Linked DNA regions of Medicago truncatula. The protein of the gene in region 2 binds, or shares a complex with, the protein of the main gene of each other region. Links are inferred from orthologs where the notes say so. Each region holds a gene or a part of one and is shown on either strand. Other genes may lie near its edges. The genes, in order: cleavage and polyadenylation specificity factor subunit 2, cleavage and polyadenylation specificity factor subunit 1, cleavage and polyadenylation specificity factor subunit 3-II and cleavage and polyadenylation specificity factor subunit 3-I.

Region 1 (7,410 bases), on a different chromosome or scaffold from region 2:
AGTGTAAGTCTTTTCTTGTACTGACCGATTCCAGCATCAGAATAAGTTCCAATATTCGTCCAGCAGTGTCAACAGGTAGTAACACATTGCCACCTGCCCTTAGAGTCTTCTTTAAGATATCTAAATAATCAACAAGATATATGATCAGAAAAAACAAAGTATATAGTCTAGACAGTTTTCTCGTTTCGTGATGAAGACTTTTTAATGCTTGCATGCCTTGTCTTTGAATATCCCAGGCATAAAAATATTTCAGTTTTCTCTTAATAGCAACTCAAGAAAACAAAAAATGAAAAATTCACCTTATTTCTGTCAAGGTGTAGCAATTATAAGATTTAAATGTTAGTTACCTCCAAATTCTTTGTCCTTTTGACGTCTGTAAGGCTGATTATTCAAAGCATTATAAGCATCGGTTATTAGAACAGCCGGGCGAACAAAAGAACCTAGAACAGTTCCGTTCAAATGCCTAGTGAAAATTAGATTGATAAGTAGCTTACTTTCTTGTCGTTAAGAATATGCACGTTAAATTTTGGAGAAGTAAAAAAATAATTTACCTTTCTTTCCTATGATTGAAATCAACAGCATATATGACATCCTCACCATCCTTTGTAATTTTCCATATCGTACCTCCCAAAAGATGTCCAGCAGTATGTGGTGCAATGACGATTCCCTCTCCCTTTCCTAGTATTGGTTAAAATGAATGTCATTGATGGTAACAAACACATAATAAATTGAGGAAGGTGTTATGTTATTGTTACCTGAGAGATGATGATTCTGAGAGTATGTTAGCCTTGTTACAGTTTGGAAAGCAGAATCAATATCATCTAGAGTGAAGAGATCAAAGTCGGACACTTGCTTTCTGGAGAGGAAGTGGTCATACATAGTGAGAAGTCCCAATCTATAAACAGGCTCAGTTGAATAAACAGGAGCAGAAAGTCCAAGATGCTTAATGGCATATGGTAAGGCGGCAAGGTGAAGTGTATCAGGATGTGAAAGTAAAACAGCATCTATAGTTGATGCTACCCTGGAAAGGGGTTGAAGGAGTGAAGGGTCGAAGTGGTCATTCCAACCACAGTCGATGAGGATGTTGAAAGAATCAATGGAAACCAAATAAGAGAGAGGGTTTTCATTGTAAACTCCACAAAGTGGTGTTACTTGCACTGATGTTCCCATGATCTGCCTTCTTCTGTGTGTCAAAATAATAACATAAAAACCGATATGAAGCAAAAAGGAAAATGCATTCAGACATTTGAACAAACAGCTGATATCCAATCCAATTACATGAAACAAAAGCATCAATTTTTTAACATTCCGAAATTCCAATTCTAACTAACAAACAACTTGGTCATAACAAAATTTCATTTCCAATTCCCAATTTTGAAACACTAAAACAAGAAATTGGAAAATCAATTGGCTTACCTTAGAGTGAATAATGACAACTGAGAGAGAATTAGCTGTGACTAGTGGTGACACACTGGTTGTAAGAGAGAGTGAGAAGAAGAGAGTATGCAGTGTCGTTTGATTTTTTTCTTTTATTTTTAAAAAATCGGGCAATAATCATCAGGTGTGGCTATATGAAATCTAATGGGCTCCGTTTACGGTAGGGCTGTAGGAGACATTTTTTTTAAATGAATATGAACCATTGGATAAGGGTTGGATCAAAATACTTTTTTTTTTTTGAAGGAAAATAGCTTATAGCTTTTGATTAAAAATCAACGTCGTAATACAATGAGGTACATCATTAAAAGTATGGGGACTAGCTAAGAAAGTGGCCTCTCGTGCAAGAGTGTGAGCGACCTCATTCGCTTGTCTCCGACTAAACTCTACCATGGAGTTTTCTAGATACATATCACGATTTCTCCGATACTCGTCAATTATTGCTCCAAACTCGGATATATCATTGCAACCTCAATTAAAATAATCTACAACCGTCTTGGCATCCAATTCAAAATCAACATTATTGAGTTGCAGTTCATGCACCCAACGGATGGCGTATGAAAGTCCCAAAGCTTCTCCAACATCCGACGGACAAACAGGATTCGACCACATTGTTCTTGCTCGAATAAATTCTCCAAATTCATTCCTGATGCAGAATCCAAATCCTACACAATTTAAAGCTTCCGAAAACGACGCATCAATGTTGCACTTTAGCCTGCCATGATTGGTTTCTGCCATCGATTCTGCCCAATCTGCACACTGCTGGACACAAATTTTGACTGCTGCACATCTGTAATCGGATCAGCAGACCTGCCAGTCATTCCACCTTGCTGTCGCTTGCTGTTTGCTACACGCCAGTTGACCAACAGCTTCTGTGCGCGTGCAACAATGGCCTGCAATGTCTCTACTTCATTCTGCCATAGTTGTAGGTTACGGCTTTTCCACAAACTCCACAATACCGAAGCAAATAGCTCAGCTTGAGCATGAGACAGTTCTTGTAACAATGCGAAAATGAACTCAGCCGATGTGTTATTCCGCAGCATTACCGAATTCACTTTGCTTAGATAAGGGTTGGATCAAAATACTTATTATATATCTTCAACACTCAATTACTTTCTTTTATTCTAGTGTATTTATCTTCACAGCCACACAAGATTACAAAAAATTCAGTCTACTCTATCAAAGATTCACATAACACCACTTAGGACAATTTATCAAACACCTAAAAGGCAACAAGTGAAATGCATGCAAAAATTCATTCATCCTAAGCCAATAGATGAAATCTAATCTTTTCAATGCATAAATAACGCATAAAAATCCACATTAACTCAACAACAAAAGTTGCATTTGAGAAAGAAAAAAATCACCCAAAATCAAAATCGATGAACTTACTTGATTGGAAGAATAAAACGAAAATGAAGGTTGAGTGAGTGAGAGATGAATATAGAGCGGTGGACTTGGCCGTGAGAGATGTGATCGCCGGCGGCTACAAGCAACTCCGGCTATTTGAGTTCAGTGCTCGTTTCTGATGGAAAAAGAGCCGAGAGAATTCAACTTGGTGATAAAATATTGAGAAACAATATTTGTACATCTATTTTTTTGACAACTTTTGAAACAACATCTTTCTTATATTTACATATATTTTTATTATTTCTCTTCTTCTTTCTTTCTATTGTTTTTATCCAATAAAATGAGGTGAAAAGTGGTTGTCACAACAATTCCTCTTTTTTTGGTTACACATATTCCTTTAAAATATTTGTAACACATATTGAATAAAATAAATATTTTTATATTTTATATAAAATAAAAATCTTCTCATGAAATAAAAACAAACATATAAAATATTTGGACGAAGCCGATGTGGATTGTTGAGATGTTTATGCTAGATAGAAAAATAAGTTTTGTTACAAAATTACATATTTTTATTTCATGACGAGAAGTTTTTTATTTAAGTAATACGGCAGTCGTATAATTTTACTAATTTAATAACGAGTATAAATTTATACGAGTCCATGAACTTAAAAAATATTTATTTTATTTTACATGTGTTAATAATTTTACTAAATCCAATGTGTCAATTTTTGTTTTTACTAAATTCTATAAATATCATCTGCATGTGCATCTATAAATTTACGAGTACTTAAAATATGAATTTTTTTTTTTATTCGTGCTTACTCATTAAGATATTGGTCTTATACCAGCTCGTGGTAAATTTATATGCAGATACGTTGCATACAAAATTTTGGTCGTCCTTAATTATAAGTATAAACCGAACAACGTCAGATAAATACACTAATTTAAAATAAAAGAAAGCAGTTGAGTGATGGAAATGTATATTAAGGAATTTGATCCAACCCTTATCATATGGTTCATATTCATTTTAAAGGAAGAAAAAAACCATGTCTCCTATATTAGAAGACCTATTCAAGTCTCCCATCGTAGACGGAGCCAATCTAACAACTTCTTCATTTATATAACTGTCCCCTCCTAATTTTTATTTTTTTTACAGTTTAACCAAAAAAATTTCAATGGGTAAAATGGTCCAAAATTTATCATGTGATGGTTTAAAATTGTTCCATTTTTTTATCCTTTTTTTTTTCTTCCAATATTGTCATCTACATCATGAAGGTGAGAAAAACACACAAGAAGGTGGGTTGAATTGTGTGAGTCGTTTCTTCTTGTAAGGTGTTAAGAACAAATCTGGACAAAATCTGATGTTTCATATTCTGACTCAGAGTCTGAATGCAGCGGAAATAAATAACATGCAGATTAAAGATAAAGAGTCAGAGAGAGAAGAAAGACACAAATCAATTTATACTGATTCTGTCCTTCAAGGTGTTACTCTTCGTTACAATCCATACATAGTTCATCATGTAAATAACACGTCACATCGAAAAATACATCCTCAAAACATAATCTAATAACATAAATAAAATCCCAACAGTCCTAATAAGAGCACCACTAGTCAAGACTCCAAAAGGAAGCGGTAAAAGAATGCTTCAAAGCCATCCTCGAAAACTCACAGCAACTATACGTCCAACCCGCAGCAAATGTCAATCATCATCACAAGATTATAAACATGTATATTCATATTATATTAGTTCTCATACAATTCACTAAGTCGGTATAACAAACTTCAATCATCATCACAAGATTATAAACATGTAATCACATCATCAAATAATCGTCAAGTTGAACACATTGCATTCACACATCATTGCCATTGTCGAATCACACATTTTTCAAATAGTCACACATAGTCAAGTACACATCTTTCGCATAGACTCACATGTAATGTCCCTAACTTGACTCTATATGCATGTGGTACCGTTTTTGAATATCAGAGGTATGTATTTGAGTGATACCTCATCGTCAAATATTTGGATAATCATAAGCATATTACTGATTAATCCACTCATCGTCAAATATTCGTCGTCAAATAGGACAGACCATGAATGCATGAACATCACATCATGACTCGACAAATAAAATCAACAACATTGTCATATCATCATTGTATAAACATCATCATATATCATATCACAATATTTGGATAGAAATCTTGGTGATTTTGCAAGCAATCTTGGTGATTTGTCTGCTTTTTAGGCGAAGCTGATAGGTATTATTCTTGCTTTGGAATATGTGGCTTCTCATTCTTGGCACAATATTTGGATAGAAAGTGATTCGACTTCTGCGGTTCAGGCCTTTAAGAATGCTGATATTGTTCCTTTCCGTCTTCGGAACCATTGGCATAACTGTTTTCATTTGGGTCTCCAGGCTATATGCTCTCAAATTTATCGTGAGGGAAACTGTTGTGCAGATAAATTAGTTGAGTATGGACATGCGGTTGTGGGTACTGTTTGGTTAGACTCCATGCCTTCGTCTTTGTTGGCTGATTTTTTCCGTGATCGTATAAGTTGTTGAACTATCGGTTTCCTTAGTTTCATGGTTGCACGCTTATTCTTTCTGAGGATCTTGGCCTAGCCCCCCCTCTTGTACATATTATTTTCTCTTTTTTTTTTAATAATATTTATAGAGTATGTGGTAGATAATAGAGGTTTTAGTTGGGTACCAACCTAGTTTGGACGTTTATGTTGCCTCTTGATGTCGTCCCTACATCTTTGCTTAGAAGAAAGAAAGAAAAAAAGATACAAAATTTAGTAAAAATGATTTTTTAAAATTTCATGAAATCTATAAAACGTCACTAATATACAACAGTAATTTCACTATTTGATGAAATTTATTAAAAAATTCAATTAAAAAAACTATGGTAAACCTGTGTTTTACGCGAAATCTATCAAATTAATTGCACTTAAAAAAACTTTTTTCATCAACTTGTAACCACCTTGTACATACAAAGACAATTCTGCTTAGATAGGAATCTCATAACCCTTCTTTATCCCAAAAACCATTCTTAAGACACAATGCTTAATTTATACAATAGCATCATATCATCAATAATGTTTTGAGTTTGGATCTAGCCAAAATGTTTGAAGTGTTTTACCTCGTTTGTGCCTGCTAAATGTGATAAAGGGGGAAAATGCAATTTATAAATCTCATTTGAGTTTATTGGAATAACTGGTGCCATTCATTCTGAAAATTTATATATTGTCGCTGACTTCATTGCAACATCACAGGTTGCTGATAAAAGTTTGAGTGTACTGTCAATGAACCATGAGATATTCATGGGCAAAGTTGTCAAATGTGCATAGACAGACTATTGCATGTTCCCTAAAACTTTTAAGGTAAGTTAAGTAAGAACAAAAAGCTGCATTGAATTTATACTTCCAACAAATAACAACAATGAAGGAGGTGTTTGCAGAGTTTTTTTTTTTTGAATCGGCAAAATATTATTAACCAACAAGCCCGTGCAAGACGCACTAATAAGCTCGGGTGGAGAAAAAATACAAAGAAGGGGAAATCAGTTGCCATACAAACTCCGGCTCGAACAAAAATCCCTTTAAAAACCACCCATAAACTAAGGAACACACCACAAGAGTAATGACGCAGGCATATACAAGTGACAGACCACAAGCATACCCCTGCATCAACACCAAAGGCCGCCGAAACTACTAATAACAGCCAAAACCTGGCAAGCAAACAACCACCAGCCAACTGATACGTCTCGCCCCAGCTGTTAAAACATACAACAGCACTGCTGCCACAAAACCAGGTAGCGCACAGACCTCCTAGCACCGCACCAAAGCTATACAAGCAGACAAGCCAAAGAGCACTGACACCCAAGCATACCCCTGCCTCACCAATCAATATACTTCAGCAGCAAGATGCCGAAGTAACATGAAAACAGAAAATTGAAAGTGGCAGCCGCACAAACCAACTAGCCAAAACTGCACACAAGCCTCACAGTACTCGTGGAAGACAAATCCAACAAGTAACAGCAAAAACTATCCAAAACCGAAACACACCCAAAGTCCTCAAAAGCTGCACAAACCAACCTGCATAGGAATCCCAAACCAAAAGCTTCTACCTCACGAAATACACCGCACCCAAGGACCAAACTATCATCTAGCAAGACAATATCTTGGATTCCAACACCATTCATAGAAAAGGCATGGCGGGTTATTCGTCCTATTCAACATCCATCTCCAAGACAAAACCTTAATCTCCTCAACTATGTCATCCACCACTCTACTAATACCCTTAAAGATTTTGTCATTTCTCGCTTTCCACAAAGTCCACATGGTTGTGTGCCAAATTAACCATAGTCCTTTAGTTACTTTTTTATTTCTTTCCCCACACTCCAACACTCCCAATGCACAAAGAAATTAGATGGAATTAAGAACAAGACCTCCAACCACAACATAATATTTAGCCACACCTTAGACGCCACTTCGCAGTGCAAGAGAAGATGTATGGCCGATTCTTCCTTCAAATTACACAACACACACAAGTTTGAGGCATCCGGTGGTAGAACATTCCTCAAGGCAAGATTAACTCTAGTTGGGATACGATTAA
Region 2 (7,583 bases):
TACATACTACTCAATTTTATTTTTTGTGAAGAATACACACTACTCAAAATAAAAAGGCAGCTGCATTTACATTTAATTACTGTACATTTCCCCACGTTAAGTAATTTATTAGTAACTTCAGAGACGAAAATTCAAATGACCTATATTTGCAGGGACGAAAGATCTATTTAAGCCATTTAAATATAGGGTTAATAGTGCTTTACCCCCCTGTAATATAGGTCATTTCCGGTTTTCCCCCCTGTAAAATATTTTTTTTGAATTTCATCCTTGTAATTTGAAGATTTTTTGGTTTTGGACCTTCATGGAAAATTTCACTCCCTGTAATTTGAGCAAATTTAGGTTTACCCCCTTGTAATTTGAGAAAATTTCGGTTTACCCCCCTGTTAATTTGAGCAAATTTCGGTTTACCCCCTATCATATCTTTGATTTTGTACTGTCAAAATTCATGAAGGTCCAAAACCAAAAATCATCAAATTACAAGGACGAAATCCAAAAAAAATATTTTACAGGGGGTAAAACCGGAAATGACCTATATTACAGGGGGGTAAAACACTATTAACCCTTAAATATAAGCATATGACAATTAGTTTTCAAAGGTCGTTGGATTTTGGTTATTTGAAAAAATCAGCTGAATTTGATTGTAGTTCTAATAGTTGCTTTGCTTCATTGTTCTTGAGAAATGTAATTTTCCTACTTAATATTAGTTGTTGATTAATTTGCAGCTTTGTAGTTACATCTCTAATCTATCGTTATATTTTTAGTTTCCAATTAAGAATATCCTTTGCTTTACATTCTTTTATTAATCTTACATATTTAAGCTTGCTAGTGGTTGGTGGATGAATATTGTCTCACATGAGCTTTACATGTTTTGGTTTTGATGTATGTCATGCTGATAGAATAATTTTATCCTACTTTCACTAGATTTGTTTTCCGTCATCCAGCAATATTAACACTACTTATCTTAATTTTTTTATAACATCATTTTGTGTCATTCCATAGTCAAAGTCATGTTTGTATGTTTTGCATATGAAATCTAAGAATATAAGCATTAATAAACTATATGATGCATGTACATTAAAAATTGTTTGGGAGACACAACTGGAACTTTATTCATGGGCATGAAAGTTCAAATTTCATTGAACTTTCATTCATATATAATTTGTACACATAATCATTGAACTTTAGACAAGCCTTGACAATGTTTATTTTTTGTTCAATTTCATATATTTGGATTTTCAATTTGAAGATTTTGATTTATGTAATATGGTAAAAAAAAATCACATTACTTGAGCATGCAGGTATGGGAATCAGTAGAGCAACTTGAGGCACTCATCATTTAGCAAGACTATTTGTGTGTCTTTTACCAGGGAATAAGAACAACAAAATATTTATTCAGAGTAAGTATTCTAGAGAACGAAGGAAAATGAATTTTGAGAGTATAATAGTTTACTTCAAGGAGATGAGACTTTGAAAATAGAAGAGTATAAAATAGCAGCATCAATTTTTTGGCTAACCATGACCAAAATTTTCTACAGGTTTTCATTTCCAAAATCTCAATGTCCCTTCACCTTTTGTGTTGCAGAAAATTGTGCCTTCTTCATTTTTTGAGTTCATTTCGATGACTCATTGCCTCCAAATATTTGATTTTATCCATTTCATTGAACCATGTTTGTTGATTGTAAGTTACTTTGAAATAAGAGATTATGTACCATTGGTTGGAGTTCCTTTTTTTAAATACGTATTGTGTTTTTATCAACTTTGTTTATCTGCATTTAATGTTGGAAATTTGCAGGGAATTGAGAGGTTTTTGATTGTAAATTTTGTCCATTTGTTGTGTATACATATTTTATGGAACTGGTGTTTATTTTATGCTATTTGTTCAGGGAAATCAGCTTAAAGGAGCTCAAGTAGAGACTAATTATGTCATGCTATTTTTTTGTTGTCAACTAATTAGGTCATTCTATAAGTGGCTTGATGGCATAACTATTCATTGAATTGCCTTTTGACTTAATCTAATTAAAGTATAATGTTGTATATGTGATAAGTTTTTTTTGGAGTTAAGTATATACTCCCTCCGTCCCAAATTATAAGCAAAAAAACAAAAATCACACTTATTAAGAAAACTAAAACATAAGAATTTGGAGTATAGTTTTTTGTGTTTTCTTTGGAAAAAGTTTTATAGGAAGATGTAAAAACAATTTTTATTGGCTATTGGTTATGGAAAAAATGAAAGAAAAAGAAAATTGAATGTAATTTGCATTTAATATTATGAGAATAACAAAAAAAAATATTGGAAAAGATAAAAGTTTGTCTTTTTTGCTTATATTTTGGGACAAAGAAAATGTGTTTTTTTTGCTTATATTATGGGACGGAGGGAGTATGTTATACACGGATATTTAACTACATTTTTTTGGCATCTTTGTAGATTTCCTATGTCAAAGCAAGGATGTTATATGATCAAATCAAATGAACGCAAGGAGAAAATTGTTTGACCATAGATTGTGCTTAATAAGTTCATGCAAGATTCGTTAGCTTCTCAAAGGATTTCTATGTATGGATTTGTTATTAATTGACCCATTTTTTTAACAACTTTTATCATTTTCTACTGTTTTGGGGGGCTTATGTAATTGTGACTGTGCGGTAGTTTTTTTTCCTGGTTTATAAGTTATATGGTCCGCAGTTTTTGTACTGATTCTAACAAGGATGCTGAAATATATGCTTGAAGGAAATTTCATATTCGGAAGTAAAATTGACGACAAAGTTTTTGTACTTATGTTATCTCTGACACATTCTGACGTAAGATTTACTTTTCAGTTTCAACCGAGACGGTTTCTTTTGTTGTTTCATTTGAAATGACTATTAATAAGAACATTTGACATTATCAATTATATGTTGCAGTTTTAAAAGTTACTTCAAAAGAAGAAGATCCTGACAACTCATGAAAACGCCGAATATACTAGATTCTGACAAATAATAAAAATGATGAAGATACTAATATAACTTCAAAAGTAGTCTATAGAGAAATACTTCGTAATTTATGAGTAATTATGTTAATTTATATATTATGAGTAAATATTTCAAACGTGTAATGTAAATTCTCAATGATGTCCTAATATTTTTAAACTTCAATTACCAAATTATTTTTACAATCAACGAATATTCATATTTATTTTCAGATGTTCTACAAATTCATTTGTGTTCTTATTGCTACTAAAATATATTATTATCATTTATCTTTCCTAACGTTACAATACTGAATGCATTATACTACTACTATTAAATTTTAGCTCACAAGACTCGTGCGGCGCACAGGTCATCAATCTAGTTCACTAAAATTAATGAACTTTTACATATTCATCAAATCACATATTTTAACAAAATTGAAAATAACATATTCTTATACTTATCAATCACGAAAATAAAAATAAAAATAAAACCTAAAAAATATCGAAATCAAGAAATTTCATATTCAATATCATAACATATTATTTTCATCTAAATATGTCAAGACAATACACCTTCCTACAACGTTCTAAGACAAAGCGTTCCCACAAGAAGAAGGTGTGGCAGTTTAGACTAAACCAAAATTGATAGGAACAGATGCCATGAACTGCTTGATGATTTAAGAAAATTGTTTTGAGATGAACAATTAAGAGATTGAGTTGTGATTACAACGTGACAGACAACCTTGAGTTTTTCTCTTAGGGTTAGGATTTTCACGCTAATAAAGGCTATTACGGTGAGAGAGAACCTATAAACTTGGTCACCACTTGGACTTTGCCACTCTCCCCCGTAACTAATACTCTTTCTATTTCAAAATACATGTTTAATTTTTACAATGTGCACTATTCATTTGACTTACTTTGACCATACTTTTAAACTAGTTTATAAATACAAATATTATAATGTAAAATGTTATTTGATTTGTCTCGACAAATATTTTCAAAATATTAAATTTTTATAATTTTTTACATTAGATAATTAAAGATATTAACGGTCAAAATTGTGCATTGGCATGTGTGAAGTGGTTGACTTGGACATGTATTTTGAAACAGAAGGAGTAATAATAAGGGTTTTTCTAACCTATGTAACATGACATAAGATAAGGTGTAATAAATGTACCTCTTTTTTCAACAAAAACTATCAAATTAATTATCATTTTCTTGAAAAATGATAAGTAATTTTATTTTCCGTCCATCTCTCTGAAGTATTAACCACTCTATTCATTGTATTTTGTGAAAAACTAAATAGTCATATTCTAAAGGCTAAATTACCTTTTTTGGTCCTTTAACTATTTAATTGGTATCAGATTAGTCCTCTAATTAAAAATTGATTTATTTCGGTCCTCTAAGTTTCTCATCGTTACTACATTTAATCATTTCTGTTAGTTTTATTCAAATAAACGTTAGGGTTTGCGTTATGTGGGTCCTCTAACTTTATTTATTAGTATCATTTTGATCCTATGCCTTGTTAAGATATTATGATTAAATAGTGATTGATATTATTGACAACTATTATTGGTAACTATTATGGTTCATGGATGATAAAAAGGTAATTAAGCTTACAACTACTACACTCGAGAATAGCACAGTGACTAACACACTGAACAAACACCACCCCTCCCGCCAAACTCAAAACCCAAAACCCTAATCCACCCTTCAACCTCACTCTCTCCCCATTCAACCTCAAATCAAACCCCCACTTTTCCAACCCACACCCCCACCATGAGTTTCGCCGCATACAAAATGATGCAACACCCAACCGGAATCGACAACTGCGCTTCCGGTTACTTAACCCACTCCCGCTCCGATTTCACTCCTCGTATCCCTCCTCCTGATTCCGATGACCTTGACGCCTCCGATTGGGCCCCGCAACGCGACGTTGCGACATTTCCGAATCTTGTCGTTACTGCCGCGAATGTGCTTGAGGTTTATGTCGTGAGAATTCAACATGATGTGGCAAAGGGGAAGTTGAATGCGGATTCTAGGGTTCTTGATGGGGTGAATGGTGCCAATCTTGAACTCGTTTGTCATTACAGGTTTTGATTCGATTTTCTGTTTTGATTTTTTGAATGTTGCTCTGATTCGATTTTTCGAATGTGAATTGGTTTGGGAAAAATAAAGTGATTTTGAATGTGAATTTGTTGATGTGTTTCAATATTCTGTCTTCATTTCTTGAATGTGAGTTTGTTACCGATTGGAAAAAAGTGATTTTGATTCTTGATAATTTAGAGATTAGTAAAAAAAGTGATTTTACTACTCAATTTTCTGCTTCAATTTTTTGAATCTGAAAATGAGAATTTGTTAGGATATAGAATATAGTTAGACTAGTTAAGAGTTAATTAGTAGAAATTTGGATTTGAGAATAAGAAATTGTCTGTTTTGAGAATAAGCCTTGTGTTTGTTTGACAGAATGAGAATTATTATAAAATAAAAATCAGTTATTAGAAAATGATTTTTCTGAAAAACTACTAAAATAGTTGAACTTTTAGTTTAGCTTATGAAAAGAGCTTATATGAAAACAATTGAACTTTATTTTAGCTTTTCTGCTTCAATAATTAAATCTGAAAACGAGAACGAGAAATTGTTTTCGTGTTGTGCAAATGGTTTATTTTGGCAGGGTATGCTGGCTATCATGTTGTAGAAAAAAAAAGTGTATGTGGAATTTTAGGGAAGTTTGTTACGGATTATAAAAAAAGTGATTTTGATATACAATTATAAAAAATGATTTTATGGAGGAGCTACGGAAAATAGCTTCTTATTTGGTGTTTCCTGTATCGTGCTATTGGTTGTTTTGTTAGGGTACATTGGCCATCATGTTGTAGAAATATGTGGAATTTCTGTAGTTAGTGGTCATTATATAGCTTTGTTTTGATTAGGCATATGAAATTGAGTACTTCCTCTGTCCGAAGTATAAGCCACGTTAGTTCTTCCTCTGTCCGAAGTATAAGTCCTATTTTGGCTATATTTGGTAAAAAAATAGGGGATAACTTATAAGCTGGCTTACTTGAGCTCTTCTATCTTTACTGGTTTCGCCTCGCTCTTGCTCTGTTTTGATTTTTTGAATCTGTAAATGAGAATGTGCAATTGTTTTGGTGTTTTGTTTTTTGTTTTGGTAGGGTATATTAGCCATTATGTTGTAGAAATATGCATAATTTTAGGGCCGTTTGTTACGGATTATATTTTTTAAATATTTAGAGAATCAAGATTAATTTTTATTGATTTTTTAGTAAAGGAGGAGCTTTCGCCTTACTCTTTCTCTGCTTCGGTTACTATTATTTTGTTTAAAAAGGTGATTTTTTCACAACAAATTTTTTTGTATCAAACCGGCTTTGCTTCTCTGTTGCTTTACTTCGATTTTTCAAATCTGAATTTCTGAACGAGAAATTGTTTTGGTGTGGAAAAATGGATTGTATACCTTTCAAATTTGGTGACTTTAGTGTATTTAGGGAAGAAATGGGTGATTCAATAGAATTATTTGAATGAGAGAATGGTTGGTTAAGAGGGTACATTGGATATCATGCTGTTGAAATGCGTGGAAGTATGATTTTTGACACGTGTTAGACACCTATTATTACGGTGTCCAAATTAAAGTATGATTTTTTCAGCTTGGACATCTTGAGCTGACACCTGCCCTTAGCTTTCTCAGGCACTCGTAACATAGAAAAGAATATATATATATATATTATAAAAAAGTCAAGGAGATGCATTTGTGGAAGAATATATACTAACAATGCATTTGGATTACCATATGAATATTTTCTTGAAGTTGTTAATTTGTTACTTGATTGACCAGAACTAGTGGCTATGTTTTTCTATGATGATCAAGGAGGCTACGGGTTTGAACCCTAGCTTAGATCTTTTACTTTTGGAGACAAACAGCAAAATAATGATGCCTCTTAGAATTTTTTTCACTATAATAGGATTAACTAATTGTTATAAGACAAAGGATTCATCTTCTTGTCTTGATATTATTTTTGTAAGGATATGATTGCTCTTAGTCTTAGTATTCTTTTTGTGAACGTATTAATCTTAATTCACAATTTAGACTTTTGGCATGTTAATTGTTGTTGTTGTTGTTGTTACTATTATTATTATTATTATTATTATTATTATAATTACTTTGAATGGCAAATGTTAGTAATTAGTTTTTTCTCCTTCGTCCTGGTTTGAACCTTAGACCTCCAACTCCTTAACCCTTAGCTCAAACTAGTTGAGCTACCCCCCCACCCCTCTTTATTATTATTATTATTATTATTATTATTGTTGTTGTTGTTGTTGTTGTTGTTGTTGTTGTTGAACGTCAGCTTGATTTTGCAAAAAAATTTTGGTTAAAATTTAAGTGATTTACGTGTGGAAACTTTTATCTCAAAAAGTAAGATTTGACAAAGAGCACTTCTATCCAAATTGATTATTTATGCAATTGAATAACTTCACAAGTGTAAATTGTTGTTTGGACTTCGAAATTTAGCTTGGTATGGTTTTGTTGGTTTCCCTGGTGAATTGAGTGGTTGATTTGGGCATCTATCTCAGTCCTGGTTTTATGCTTGCGATTCAGGTTGCATGGCAATGTTGAAAGTGTGG
Region 3 (6,830 bases), on a different chromosome or scaffold from region 2:
ATGACACCATGTTGCATACTATGATGTGCAATTTTTTTTTAATAAGACAAACAAACTACAACTTACTAAACAACATCATTGTATCCAAAGTCATAGAGAAAAGATGGAGATTTCAAGTAGAAATAAATGAAACAAAATATACGTGACTAGTGATAAAGACTTCAGGCAATTTTCATAAGCCCACAACTTTGTTTTCCACTATAAATTTTGATTAAACATTTTTCAAAACGAAATTCCTACTTTAAATTCAAGGGTGAGCTGATGCAGTTGCACAATTGCCCTCTTGCGCGCATTTAAAAAAGAAGTTATGTTGCATTTTTGTTTTCATTTTTCTCACATAGAGCATGGATGAGTATCTCGAACGTAATAAGATTCGTCTTGCAACCCTTATTTCCATTTTAGTGAACAAATTTATTGCCTCCTCACACATATTCAGTTTGCACATGCCATTAATCATTATATTATAGGTGATGACATCCATAAAACCTTCTCTCATCAAAATATCATCAAGAACTGATTGCGTATCTTTCAACTTATCAATCTTAAGAAGCCCATTAATTAGGATATTTTGTGTGAATACATCTGCATGAGCCCTCCATTGTTCTTATCAATGTCTTAACATCCTGAATATGCTTATGTTTAAACAAATGATTCACAAAAGAATTATAAGTGTTGACATTAGGGGACAAGGACGAGTAGCATACATCTCTTGTAGAAGCTTTTGAGCACACAATACTCTATGTATCTCTTTATTTTTTCAATGTATCTCTTTATATATTGAAAATAATCATAAGTTTTCAATATTTTATCATATACACTTTTTCATATATGTATATAAAATTTGTTTATGCAGATATAAACATTTAAAATCTGCAAAGAGAGCGGTTTATACATTGAACGGTGTTTTTCATTTAAAGTAGAAATTTAATTAATAGAAACATTGCATTAATGTTGATATTTTGAAAATAGTCACTTGTTTTCAAAATTTTATCATATCAACTATTACATATCGATACATAAATTTTTTCTTGTGCATAAATAAGTATATAAAATCTTCAACGAGTGCAATTTAAATATTAACGGTGTTTTTCAATATTTAATGGTGTTTTAAATATAAAATATATATTTTCTTAATAAATACACTACATTAATATTGATATTTTGAAAATAGTGATAAGTTTCCAAAGTCTTATCAAATTGACTTTCTTATATGTGTATATAAAACTTTGTTTATGCATATATAAGTACAAAAAATCTGCAACGGGTGCGATGCAAATATTGAATAATCTTTTGCATATAAATAAAAAGTTATTTAATAGAAACACTGCATTAATTTTGATTTTGAAAATAGTAATGAGTTTTTCAAAATTTTATCATGTAAACTTTTTCATATATTTACATAAAAAATTGTTTTTTTGTATATATAAGCAAATAAAATTCATAATTGGTGTGACTCAACTATTTAACAAATTTTTGTATATATAAGAAAAAATATTTAAAAGAAACATTACATCAATACCTATGATTTTCTTTTAATATCTATAAACATTCTACAATATTCACAATCTAATTATTTTTCGTATAATTATCGCATTCGCACGGGTCATTTACTAGTTGATTAATGTGCTCGTGAGCTTAACTATGTTGGTAACTTTTCCACCCTAAATCAACAACACACTGGATACTAAAAAGTGAAAACCCACATATCGTCAAAACACCTGCGATGGAATCTTCAAACATACTTTCTTTCTCCTTGTGTCCACCTCTCTGACGACGATGCATTCACACTATATACACCGCATCACATAAATTTTTAAAGGATTTTTTATTGTTGTTTGAGGTAAGTTCCGACGGCAACGTCGTTGTTGTCAAACTCAGCAAATTCCGGTTAGAAATCGCCTCTCTCAGACCTGTTGGTTTCCACTATGGTTCAATCCCCGTTCCGACAATTAATCTTTCGGCTTTTCAGTCCTCTCTTCTCCCTCTCAATAATCGATTCACTTGTCTCTGATTCAAATGAATTCTAGGCTAATTGTTTCGTGAATGCAATATTCAACAAAGATTGACATTGGTAAAGGTGGTTGTGTGTTGTGCCGCGACTGAGGTAGCCTGAGATGCAGTGTTGAGTTTTCACTTTTCAAACCGTGTATCTTCACCATTGATTTGATCGGATGACTATCTTTTCATTGACTTTGTGACTACAGTAAATCACAATTGCAACTAAACGCCTATTTGAATGGTCCCCTTGAACGCAACTTTTGAACGAGTTAAGGAAAAAGAAGTAAGTGCATGTAATATAGCTCACTCATTGCACTACTTCTTCTGCAAGTGTTGTGCAACCATTACATCATCAATGAAAATCAAAACTCTAGTTTTAGGTATATATTTTCCGTCGTTCATTTTATGCTACAATCGAATCTCTTTTACGGTTATCAATTTCAACCAAATATGCAGGCGCTGGCCAAGAAGTTGGAAAAAGCTGTGTAATTAAGTTATATATTATTCCTTAAAAAAAAAAAAAAGAAGTTATATATTATATTAGCTAACAAATAACTTTAAAAAAAGAAAAAAAACTAACAAAATTACTTTTCTGCTTTAAGTTAATTAAACTTTTAAACATATTGTGTTTGGAGACTGATTCCCTCAAAGTTGTCAATGCTTTCAATAAAGGTTTTGGAGTCCCTTGGCAGATGCGAGCTAGGTGGCAAAATTGCTGGGATTTTTGTCATAACATTTCTTGTTCTGTGTTCATATCCTTAGGGAGGGAAACATGGTGGCTGATGCACTTGCTAAGCATGGACAAGGACTTTCTCTATACTACTACACACAGTTGTGGCCTTCTCCACCTCCTTTCATATCCCACCTTCTGTTAAGAGATAGGCTTGGATTACCTTACACTAGATTAGATGTGACCTGAGATTTTCTGTTTGTTTCTGAGTTCTGAGATTGTTTTTTGTTTTGTTTGAATTGGTTTGTATGCGGTTCAGGCTTCTCCTGACTTTTATTTGAATTTCTAGCGTTATCAAAAAAAAAAAAAATTGTCCTATGTCTCCTGACTATTATTATATCTAAACTAAGAATATATTCCAAATTTCCGTCTTCCCTAACCTTGAGAAGGGTATGCGCTGAAACACCATCGACAGTGGAGCACTAGCACAGCCAAGTAGAAAAATCAAATCTTTGCTTTTATATTATATAAATTTTCAATGGTTTTTAGTATACATTTTAATTTTCTTTCTCCTCTTCTTTGAATTTTAACTTTCAAAGTTTGAACTGGGTTTGAAAGAGTAAAGTGAGAAATTAAGACAAACCATGCTTGATCTTTTCTTTATATTAGAGAATCAATTGTGGCCAGAAGCCAGAAGCTACAAGGAGTAGCTTTTCTTAGAATCGATTTTAGGATGGAGAATCGATTTTAGATATGGGTAACCAAACATTACTTTAACCATCAAAAGCACTTTAAACCACTGTAAACGTACGTTTAGTCCATCGGAACGTGGAACCAAACACGTACTTATTGGTATAGTGTCCATAAAAATTGAGTTTGAAAGAATTAATTTTGGTTAAAAGTGAGTTGAATGTGAATTGATTTATATTTGAATATACTATTTTAAAAGTGATTCTTATGAGTTCATTTAATTTGGATAGTTTGACTCAAATTATCCTTTTTATTATATATAAAACTAAATATCTCTTTCTTATTTTAGATAATTATTTAAACTTATCTAAAATCATAATTGGATTTTTATTGCTTCACAAATTTATTTTAAAATAATATTAATTTACATGAGTCTTTGTTTTAAGAAGAAATATGTTTGTGTAGATTCACGTTTTCTTCTATCCAAAATATCACAGCAAAAACGAGACTCACGTTTAGAGAAGAAAACGCAGGTTTGGAGGTTGAATACTTTTTGAAGAGAGTGCATATAGCTCACTGCACTACTTCTTCTCCTGCAAGTGCTGTGCAACCATTACATCATCAATGACAATCGAAGTTCTAGTTTTAGGTATATATTTTCCTTCCTTGCTTCATTCTATATGCTACAATCGAATCATTTTACAGTTATCAGTTTCAACTAACGTGTGCAGGTGCTGGTCAAGAAGTTGGAAAAAGCTGTGTAATAGTTAAAATCAATGGAAAGAGAATCATGTTCGATTGTGGCATGCATATGCGTCACACTGATCACAGTCGTTATCCGGATTTCAAAAAGATTTCAGATTCTGGAAATTTCAATGATGCTCTTGACTGCATTATCATCACTCATTTGTAAATTCATCATTCATTTGTTCATTTATTTTTTTTAATGTATAGTTTTTTTTAATTATTTTTTGACGTTGTTGTTATTGATGTTGGTGCAGTCACTTGGATCATGTTGGAGCATTGGCTTACTTCACTGAAGTTTGTGGGTATAGTGGACCGGTTTATATGACGGTGGGTCGCCTATTACCTGTTTGATGAAATGTCTAACTCAATGTAATGCTATGAACACTCTCTTTTCAATGCTTGCTCTAATACTCTCTTTTATTCGATGAAATCAATATAAGACCCACCATTTTATGCGGCTCCCATGTCTTAAGTGTGAGACCCACATTGATTTCACCTGATAAAATAGTGAGCGTTGGAAAGAGAGTGTTCCCGACACTTCTCGTTTGACACTATATGATGTGTTGTTGATTTATTTTTATTATTATTTTTGGTTGATATGTTTTTGATAAGTAAAATGCTTTTTTGTACTAAAAGTTCTTAGATGTTACTCAACTTGGGCCATGTTTGGATAAACAACTTAATTAATCATTTAAGTGTTTAGGTATAAGCTATTTTTATAGCAAAAGATAAAATCAAATCAAATTGTTTTTATATAAACTACAAATTGGTTTCAAGCTATCATGTAGAGCTTAGGAAAATAGTTTATGGATATGTCATAAGTTGTTTCCATAAGCTCTATCAAATAAAATAATCACAGCAGTGCTTTTGTTGTGGATAAACTCAAATAAGCTAATCCAGGCATGCCCTTGGTGGAATGCATGTACTGTTATGCAATCTTTGTTTTTGATTTCAAGTTAGTTGCTAATTACTTATTTTTTTATTTTTATTTTTTTTGTAAATAATATTGTTGTTTACTAATTGTCATGAAAGTAAGACTTTGTTCTTTGTATGTTTTGATGATTGTGTGAAAGGAGATGTTAAAATTAACAAAATAATCCCTTATTAGTGTCTTGTAATTATTTGTATTAGTAAAATCAAATATAATGGAAATGAAAACAGAAAATAAACTAAATGTAGCCTTTGTTGGACATTTTTGGCATGAGAAAAGAATGCGAAACCTTTATGCAATGTTTCCTGAACGTGCGGCTTTGGATCGAAAAAAGTAAAAAGTAATGCTAAGTTTAACAGGTTAAAGAAACCCTTAAATTAATTAAATAGGAAAGTATCTCGTAGAGAAGGGTATTCTTGATTAAATTTCAAACTTATCCAAGGAAGGAAATAACGGGCAGAAAAACGTTGGTGGTTAATTGTGGTTGTTGTTGTACTTTAACATTTGTTGGATGATTTCAACTACATATGCATATAATCATGTTATAATTTTTGCTTGATGGACGCCGTTCCAGTCATTGCTTATGGTGCTTTGAATGTCTAAGCACTGTCTCTTTGGCTGTGATTCCACGATAATAAATTTAGCTTGACTTGTATTTGATTTTAAGCAGTACCCAACAAAAGCTTTGTCTCCTCTGATGTTGGAAGATTATCGAAAAGTGATGGTTGATCGTCGGGGTGAGGAAGAACAATTCACTTCTGATCATATTGCTGAGTGCATGAAGAAAGGTAAAATAGGATTCTCTTTTCCTTTGCAGTATCTATATGTTGGTTTGAGTTAGATAAGACATGTTACCTAGGAATGCAAGATACATGATGTATACTGTGGCTGGCATAGTTGCTTATGACCATGTTTAAGTTAGAATTCTATGTAGCTACTGTGCACAAGGATTTTAATGTAGGATAAATATTATTTTTCTGGTCTATAAATGTCATTTCAGTTTTTTTTCTTCTTCGTAATTGTTTATGTCGGGAGAGAGAAACTAGGATTACACGGTTTACATTTTTGTGTGAATTTTAAAGAAGATTCTGCTATGCTCAATCAGTAGTTTGGTGTGTGTTTTAAACTTTTGAACACATCAGTTTCCCACCCAAAATCACCACACCTCTGACATTAGCATCTCAATTTTATATCTTGATTATACTTGTTCTAATTTGATTTGATTCCTGTAAACAGTTATTGCCGTAGATTTGAAGCAGACTGTGCAAGTAGATGAAGACCTGCAGATACGTGCATATTATGCAGGACATGTAAGGCTTGTGAACTTCATCAATGAACTCGTATTTCCTTTGCAGTAATAGATTTAACACCTGGTATTTTGGTTATTTTCTCACCATAGGAGTTCTTGTGAGTATTAGATGCTGAAAAAATTGTCAAATCAGAAACCATACATCACATAAACAGAATGCGATGAAAGAGTCTTGTTGAAAGTCTGGAAGGGGTAGGATTCTCAGAGTTCTAACTGAACGTGTCGAGTATCATTCAAGATTAGGGTTTAAACTTTAAATAGTTTAGATAGCAGAAGAAAAATAGCAATGCAAACTAGTCCTGAACATTTATTTCCCGATTTAGTCCAGTTGGGAGATCTTTTGATTTTGCACCTGCAAATACCATAACTGCTGAAGAGAACTTGGTTCTCTGAAACTCCTATCTGCAAGGTTCGGGTAAGTGTTGGACACATTATGTGGGTATATACGAGGCCATCTTACCTTGTATTTGCAAGAGGTTAATCCA
Region 4 (7,908 bases), on a different chromosome or scaffold from region 2:
TCGGAGGGAATATGAGTGACCCGTTGTCAGTTTTGTGCTTTCCTTCCCCTCTTCTATTGCTGTGCTTATGCTTTTATTTCCATCTTCCTTGATCGGTTTTGTACTTCTGAGATAACGGTGTGGGGGTTTCAGATGGCGAGTTTTGCGTAAAGGTTTTCCGAAGGTTGAGTAAGGGTTGTGATAATGGACTCCGAGAAACAGGATAATTTTTAGTAGAGTTAATGGTGTTTTACCCCCCTGTAATATAGGTCATTTTTTGTTTTCCCCCTGTAAAATATTTTTTTTGATTTACCCCCTGTAAAAAAAAAAAAAAATTTGGAATACCCCCCTAATAGGTCATAAAAGAACGAAAAAATTCTGCAAAAAAAAAAAAAGTCGTTTTTTTATGACCTATTATGGGGGTATTCAAAAAAAAAAATTACAGGGGGGTAAATCAAAAAAAATATTTTACAGGGGGGAAACAAAAAATGACCTATATTACAGGGGGGTAAAGCACCATTAACCCTTTTTAGTATGGTCATGATGTTTTTCCAGCTGCCCTAGAAATTGGATTCTCAGTTAATAGTTTTGCGATACCGAAAACTAAGGTACTGAGTAAGCAGGGTTTTCCAACTAATTGTGATTTCACGTTGCTATTTAAAAGGATTTGAGTAAGGGCCTTTTGGGGTTTTCCTTATAATGGGCTTTAGTGGAAAGTTCCTCTTACACTTAATGACGATTTTGTTTAATACAAAAGCACTTGGAGCATCGAACTCAGTCCTTGTAGCAAATAATGTTTACGTTGTATTAATTTTTTTTGTTCATGTATTAATTTTTTCTGATAAATGGTGGAAAGTTCCTCTTATACTTAATGATGATTTTCGTTTCTTATTGTCTGATAAATGGTGTGCGACATGGTCGAATTCTATTCAGGTTGCTGATGACAGTCCGTCATATCACATTTTTGGAGTCTTTTTAATTAAGTTTTTAGTATATTTTATTAGTTTAGTATTTCACTTAGATTCATTTTAAATAAATTATAGTTTTATTTATTAATTGAGTCAATTAGTTTATTTTATTATTATTATAGTTAGTAGTCATAGGAGCAAAGAAATAAAACTTAATTGTGCTTCTATAGATTTTATTTATGTGCCACTTGCCTTTATATCATGGGTTGGTGTGAATAAGCAAACAAGGAGGTGCAGCCACAAATAAGGGGCAATGGATTATTATGCGACAATTGGACTTTGGCAAGAAACCATTTAGCTGATCCGTAAATGAAATGAAGAGGATTAAGGAGCCAAGGAAAAAAGGAAGAAGGTGGCGCTACACAGCAGGAAGGGAGGAATACGTTTTGGAACCAAAGAACAGGTAGCACACTTTCATTTTGATGTAGTATTTTTCTATCAATCAAAAGTAAGTATTGTATATCGTCTCCATAGAGACTAAAACTCATGATGTCTCAACAAATCTTGGGTAGAATCTACTCCTAACACCTTGATTTGTGTTTCTCTCTAGAAATGCCATCTTTCTCTAAAACCCAGAAATCTTCAAAAGTGTGCTACCTGTTCTTTGGTTCCAAAACGTATTCCCCCCTTCCTGTTGTGTAGCGCCACCTTCTTCCTTTTTTCCCTGGCTCCTTAATCCTCTCCATTCCATTTACGGGTCAGCTAAATGGTTTCTTGGCCAAAGTCCAATTGTCAGTTGCCTATCAACGGGGCTTATCTGATCATGTTCCTTTGATGTTAATAACTGAAGAAGCTAATTGGGGACCTCGGCCGCTTCGGATGCTTAAATGTTGGTCGAAATTTCTAGGGTATGGTGATTTTGTCCGAGAAAAATGGGGTTCTTTTCAGTGTCAAGGATGGGGCGGCCATGTATTGAAAGAGAAGCTGAAAATGTTGAAATTTAGTCTGAAGGATTGGCACCAGCAACACGTAAAGAATTTGGACAGCAAGATTATGGCAGTCAAAAATCAGATATCCACTTTAGATTCGAAAGCAGAGTTGTCAGCATTACCTGAAGATGAGTTGAAGGAGCTACATGACTTGTTTGTTAATCTACATTCTATGGAAAAGGTTCAAAATATTATTAATTGGCAAAAATCACGGATGAATTGGTTAAAGGAGGGTGATGCTAACTCAAAAAAAATTCATGGAGTTATGTCCGGTAGGAAACGTCATAATACCATTAACATGGTGTTGGTGGACGGTGCAAATGTTGAAGGTGCGAATAATGTTCGGTCATCTATCATTACTCATTTTTTGACTAATTTCAAATTGCTAAGTGCTCGTTGGCCAGGAGTGGGTGGTCTTCAGTTTCGTCAGTTGTCAGGTGCGGAAGCAGGGTCTCTAATAAAATTGTTTTCACCGGTGGAGGTGAAGCAAGCTATTTGGGATTGTGACAGGTTTAAAAGTTTGGGTCCGGATGGCGTCAGTTTTGATTTTATAAAAGAATTTTGGTTTTAAAACTTTTCTGGTTGAGTGTCCATTGATTGTCGACGGGTTTTATCTTTTCCTTTTGCTTTGCCTTTGCATTTTCCTTCTCCAGAAGCAGCTTCTCCTTCTCCTTTATGTGTTTTTCCTTTTCCTCTTCCTCGGAGGGAATACCAGTGACCCGTTGTCGGTTTTGTGCTTATGCTTTTATTTCCATCTTCATTGACTAGTTTTGTACTTTTGAGATAACGGTGTGGGGGTTTCAGACGACGAGTTTTGCGTAAAGGTTTTCCGACGGTTGAGTAAGGGTTGTGATAATGGACTCCGAGAAACAGGATAATTTTTAGTATGGTTCTAATGTTTTTCCGGCTACCCTAAAAATTGGATTCTCAGTTAATAGTTTTGCGATACCGGGCGAAAACTAAGGTACTGAGTAAGAAGGGTTTTCCAACTAATTGTGATTTCACGCTGCTATTTAAAAGGATTTGAGTAAGGGCCTTTTGGGGTTTTCCGTATAATGGGCTTTAGTGGAAAGTTCCTCTTACACTTAATGATGATTTTGTTTAATACAAAAAGCACTTAGAGCATCGAACTCAGTCCTTGTAGCCAATAATATTTACGTTGTATTATATTCTTTTTTTGTTCATGTATTAATTTTGTCTGATAAATGGTGGAAAGTTACTCTTACACTTAATGACGATTTTCGTTTCTTGTTGTCTGATAAATGGTGTGCGACATGGCCGAATTCTATTCAGGTTGCTGATGATAGTCCGCCATATCACATTTTTGGAGTCTTTTTAATTAAGTTTTTAGTATATTTTATTAGTTTAGTATTTCATTTAGAGTCATTTTAAATAAATTATGATTTTATTTATTAATTGAGTCAATTAGTTTATTTTATTATTATTATTATAGTTAGTAGTCATAGGAGCAAAGAAATAAAACTTAATTGTGCTTCTATAAATTTTATTTATGTGCCACTTGCCTTTAAATCATGGGTTGGTGTGAATAAGCAAACAAGGAGGTGCAGTCACAAATAAGGGGCAATGGATTATTATGTGACAATTGGACTTTGGCAAGAAACCATTTAACTGACCTGTAAATGAAATGAAGAGGATTAAGGAGCGAGGGAAAAAAGGAAGAAGGTGGCTACACAACAGGGGGAATACGTTTTGGAACCAATTATGTGATAATTGTGGTTGATTTCTTTATGCTTGGAATTTAAATGTTCAGTGGAGAAGAATAGTATGTGTGTGGATGTATATATAGTCGTACCTCTTTAGACATATGTTTTGGGTGTTTTTAATTTTTGATGACATCTTTTGATTTCTTCGTGTAGAAAAACTTCATAACTACTTGGGAAATTGAATTTCCAAAATAATCTTTTATGAAATGAGGTTTTTTTACACAACCATTTTCATATAAACAATTATTAGATGACCAAATCTGTGATTCAATATTACCAATATATACGTAGTAGCCTCTTAATTTTTCATGAATATTCGTATGCATTTGATACCTTATTAAAAAATAAATACTCCAATAGCTTGTAGTATTCTTTGCAATTGTAGTATTTAACTTTTCTTTTTCGCTATGTGGGGTGTTAAAAAATCAACTGGGAAAAATGCTTATAATCTTGATTTTTCATAAATATTTTTGTAAACACAATTGAGTTGGGGCAAATTCTATGGTACACCCAATAAATTTGGGTGTATCGGTACACCAAGTCGTAAAATTAATAATAAATTAGTTGTTTTTTGAAGAAAAATAATTATTTTCTATCATTGACAACTAAGATAATTAAATTTTATATACCAAAAATTTCGACGAAATAAAATTTAATTTTTAAGAATTTTTATTACAATATTTTTATATATGGTATTTTTAAGGAATATTAAATTCTCATGCCATGGATGGTATACAATATGCTCCGTTTTCTCAAATCACAAAAGTAATAAATAAACCATCAAATTATTCCTAACGTTGTAGAACACTATTTTATAAGTCTTTAACTTAATGAATATTTTAAAATGATCTCCGACTCTATTAAACTCTCAAACCAGTTCATATATTTAACCATTTACTATCAATTTAATCTCTAAGTTTATCCATTTATTATCAATTTAGTTCCTAACATAATCTTTGAAGGACTAATGTGACTAAAATTTAAAAGATTCAAGAACCTTTTGAAATATTCATAAAGTCAAGAACTTAATTGAGAGCAAATTATAAAATTAAGGAAAATAATACAGGTTTTATTCTTATTTCATGTGGCAACATTAGTTCCAAACTTTATATTAATATTCGAAAGAAGTACATAACATCAAGGACCGCATAGCGCAGTGGATTAGCGCGTCTGACTTCGGATCAGAAGGTCGTGGGTTCGACTCCCACTGTGGTCGCTCGCATAATTTAATTCTTTTTCAACTATCTTTATCTTTTTTAATTTTTGTTGCATCAAACGACGTCGTCTACACTCACCTTTCTTACTCCAAATAGGGTTTATCCAAATCCAAATCAGAATCAAAAATCAAAATGAGTTCAGTAAAGAAACGCGAATCAAACGGTGGTACCATTAACAGAGAAACCGAAGATCAATTGATAGTAACACCATTAGGAGCTGGAAACGAAGTAGGTAGATCATGCGTTTACATGACCTACAAAGGAAAAACCGTTTTATTCGATTGCGGTATTCATCCTGGTTACTCCGGCATGGCGGCGCTTCCTTACTTCGATGAAATCGATCCTTCAACTGTCGACGTTCTTCTCATTACTCATTTTCATTTGGATCACGCCGCTTCTCTTCCTTATTTTCTCGAGAAGACTACTTTCAAAGGGAGAGTTTTCATGACTTACGCTACGAAAGCAATTTATAAGCTTCTTTTGTCTGATTATGTTAAAGTCAGTAAGGTTTCTGTTGATGATATGCTTTATGATGAACAAGATATTAATCGCTCCATGGATAAAATTGAGGTTAGGTTCCTTTGTCCGCTCTTTTTATGATTTAATTATGTTTATGAATTTTGGTTTTGATTTTGAATTTATGGAATATAGGGTTTTATTTTGTTATTATGATAATGTCTATGTTTGGTTATGCGGTGTTAAAATTTTATTTTGAGTGAATTGATTCCGGCTAAAGTTGATTTGAAGGTAAAGTGATTTATGTTTTGATATTTGTATCTTAAGGTGAGTTGAGCAATAAATTTGACTGTATGAATTAGAAGCTACAATTTCTAGCCTCAAGTAGAATCAAATTTGGAGCCAAAGACAATTCTACTTTAGAGGAACCAAACATGTCAAAACCAATTATATACCTCTACAATTTCTACAATTCTGCTTTAATTTTAAAATGCATCTTTTCTTTGGTGGTTATTTGAAATAGTTATTCACCGTAATCATGGATAAATTTGTGAAAGTTAAGCATAGTACTTTACTACATTTTAAAAGTTATCAATAACGAGTAATCATGGTTAATGACTTTTAGGGTAGTGCATATGTGAAAGTAGTTATTGTAATCTCTGTTAAAATACACAAGTAAGATTGTGTATGTTTTGTTTTTTAGCTTCTAATTTTGAATATAAGTATGTGTTAACAGTAGTACTAATTGGTGACTGCAAGTTCCTACTACGAATTACATAGCTAACCAGCTCCTACAAATATAATACATTGATCAATAGAAACGTGTAAAATATATGTGCATGAGTTATGAGATTGGTTTTAAAATTATGTTTAGTCCATCTTATATTATGTAATTTTTCATTATTTTTTTGTATATTAAACAAGTACCTAACCAGAGTGAGTTGTGGTGATGATAGAGTTGCATTTCTAGAGACAGAATCTAAGTGCAAACCTTAAAGAAATACAATTAGTACTGATATTGCTGCGGAGATGTAATGTGTTGCATCAGAATTATTATTAAGTATTGTGAAATGTTTATTCCATGGTGTTTTTCCCCCCAATATATGCAAATATGCAGTGAGATATACAATGTTGCTCCTCAAATTACCTGAATAAAGTACATCTACAATCTAGAAAATGATCATTGTAGAAGAGACAATGACACATATACTTGTAGTTTTTTTGGCGCGGAGATAGGCTTGAATGAGCTGGAAAAAGCTTAAATTATCACAACACAAAATTATTTATTACACATGTGACAATAAAGACATAAACTTTTATGGTTCAATATGTCTTCTCCTGTATAAAGTCCTACAACCTGCAAAAATTTATCTTATGTCTCTTTATTACCATTTCCAGAATTGCAACGGATAAATCAAATGTTCTGCAATTTCTTTCTGTTATTGGTATACTTCTACATGTTTCTAATTATCATGTAGCCCCATCAAGCGAGTGCATTTATGTAACTTTTGTTCATTGTCTGAAAAACCACACAACTGCACAATATCAAGTGTTCAACAATCTATTCCCAAACCAATGCATCATACGCAGTTTTCTTCAATTGCCGTTGAATTTAGGGTTTTATTTTAGTTTTTGAACAATAGTTATTGTAATGTCTGTTTTTTGCTCTTAGTTTGAACATACATGTTAACAGTAGTAGTAATTGGTGACTGCAGGTTATTGATTTCCATCAAACGGTTGAAGTGAACGGTATCAGATTCTGGTGTTACACTGCAGGCCATGTCCTTGGTGCTGCTATGTTTATGGTTGACATTGCTGGTGTTCGAGTGCTGTATACAGGAGACTATTCACGCGAGGAAGACAGACATCTTCGAGCTGCAGAGACCCCACAGTTCTCCCCTGATGTCTGCATTATAGAATCCACCTATGGTGTACAACACCATCAGCCTCGCCACACCCGAGAAAAACGCTTTACTGATGTTATTCATTCGACCATATCTCAAGGGGGCCGTGTGTTGATTCCAGCTTATGCCCTCGGTCGTGCGCAAGAGCTACTGTTGATCCTTGATGAGTATTGGGCAAATCATCCGGAGCTCCAGAATATACCCATCTATTATGCTTCTCCTCTTGCAAAAAAATGTTTGACTGTTTACGAGACTTACACCCTTTCAATGAATGACAGGATTCAGAATGCAAAGTCAAATCCATTTGCCTTTAAGCACATATCAGCTTTGAGTAGCATTGATATTTTTAAAGACGTAGGACCATCTGTTGTGATGGCGAGCCCTGGTGGACTTCAGAGTGGGTTGTCGCGACAATTATTTGATATGTGGTGCTCTGACAAGAAAAATTCTTGTGTTATACCTGGATATGTTGTTGAGGGGACACTGGCAAAAACCATCCTCAATGAACCAAAGGAAGTTACTCTGATGAACGGACTCTCTGCACCTCTCCACATGCAGGTGCACTACATTTCCTTTTCTGCTCATGCTGACTCTGCTCAAACAAGTGCATTCTTGGAAGAGCTCAATCCGCCTAACATAATTCTTGTCCACGGGGCAGCTAATGAGATGGGGAGGCTCAAGCAGAAGCTCATGACTCAGTTTGCTGATCGTAACACCAAGATCCTCACTCC

The links.
Region 1: cleavage and polyadenylation specificity factor subunit 1 (region 2) and cleavage and polyadenylation specificity factor subunit 2 share a complex: the UniProt entries of both Arabidopsis thaliana proteins name them as parts of the CPSF complex. The link is inferred for Medicago truncatula from reciprocal best matches to the Arabidopsis thaliana genes CPSF160 and CPSF100.
Region 3: cleavage and polyadenylation specificity factor subunit 1 (region 2) and cleavage and polyadenylation specificity factor subunit 3-II share a complex: the UniProt entries of both Arabidopsis thaliana proteins name them as parts of the CPSF complex. The link is inferred for Medicago truncatula from reciprocal best matches to the Arabidopsis thaliana genes CPSF160 and CPSF73-II.
Region 4: cleavage and polyadenylation specificity factor subunit 1 (region 2) and cleavage and polyadenylation specificity factor subunit 3-I share a complex: the UniProt entries of both Arabidopsis thaliana proteins name them as parts of the CPSF complex. The link is inferred for Medicago truncatula from reciprocal best matches to the Arabidopsis thaliana genes CPSF160 and CPSF73-I.

The regions. Positions count from the first base shown.
Region 1 is NC_053042.1:20,056,152-20,063,561, reverse strand, and holds the start of cleavage and polyadenylation specificity factor subunit 2, read right to left. Parts: upstream 3,007-7,410; 5' UTR 2,827-3,006; intron 1,184-2,826; 5' UTR 1,171-1,183; coding exon 756-1,170; intron 679-755; coding exon 552-678; intron 464-551; coding exon 348-463; intron 121-347; coding exon 26-120; intron 1-25. UniProt on the Arabidopsis thaliana protein: CPSF plays a key role in pre-mRNA 3'-end formation, recognizing the AAUAAA signal sequence and interacting with poly(A)polymerase and other factors to bring about cleavage and poly(A) addition. Required for antisense-RNA-mediated gene silencing.
Region 2 is NC_053047.1:30,463,861-30,471,443, forward strand, and holds the start of cleavage and polyadenylation specificity factor subunit 1, read left to right. Parts: upstream 1-4,569; 5' UTR 4,570-4,724; coding exon 4,725-5,038; intron 5,039-7,557; coding exon 7,558-7,583. UniProt on the Arabidopsis thaliana protein: CPSF plays a key role in pre-mRNA 3'-end formation, recognizing the AAUAAA signal sequence and interacting with poly(A)polymerase and other factors to bring about cleavage and poly(A) addition.
Region 3 is NC_053042.1:11,552,169-11,558,998, reverse strand, and holds the start of cleavage and polyadenylation specificity factor subunit 3-II, read left to right. Parts: upstream 1-3,824; 5' UTR 3,825-3,982; coding exon 3,983-4,007; intron 4,008-4,070; exon of another isoform or gene 4,071-4,089; coding exon 4,090-4,267; intron 4,268-4,359; coding exon 4,360-4,432; intron 4,433-5,706; coding exon 5,707-5,824; intron 5,825-6,272; coding exon 6,273-6,346; intron 6,347-6,830. UniProt on the Arabidopsis thaliana protein: Component of the cleavage and polyadenylation specificity factor (CPSF) complex that play a key role in pre-mRNA 3'-end formation, recognizing the AAUAAA signal sequence and interacting with poly(A) polymerase and other factors to bring about cleavage and poly(A) addition.
Region 4 is NC_053043.1:495,051-502,958, reverse strand, and holds the start of cleavage and polyadenylation specificity factor subunit 3-I, read left to right. Parts: upstream 1-4,903; 5' UTR 4,904-4,949; coding exon 4,950-5,387; intron 5,388-6,988; coding exon 6,989-7,908. UniProt on the Arabidopsis thaliana protein: Component of the cleavage and polyadenylation specificity factor (CPSF) complex that play a key role in pre-mRNA 3'-end formation, recognizing the AAUAAA signal sequence and interacting with poly(A) polymerase and other factors to bring about cleavage and poly(A) addition.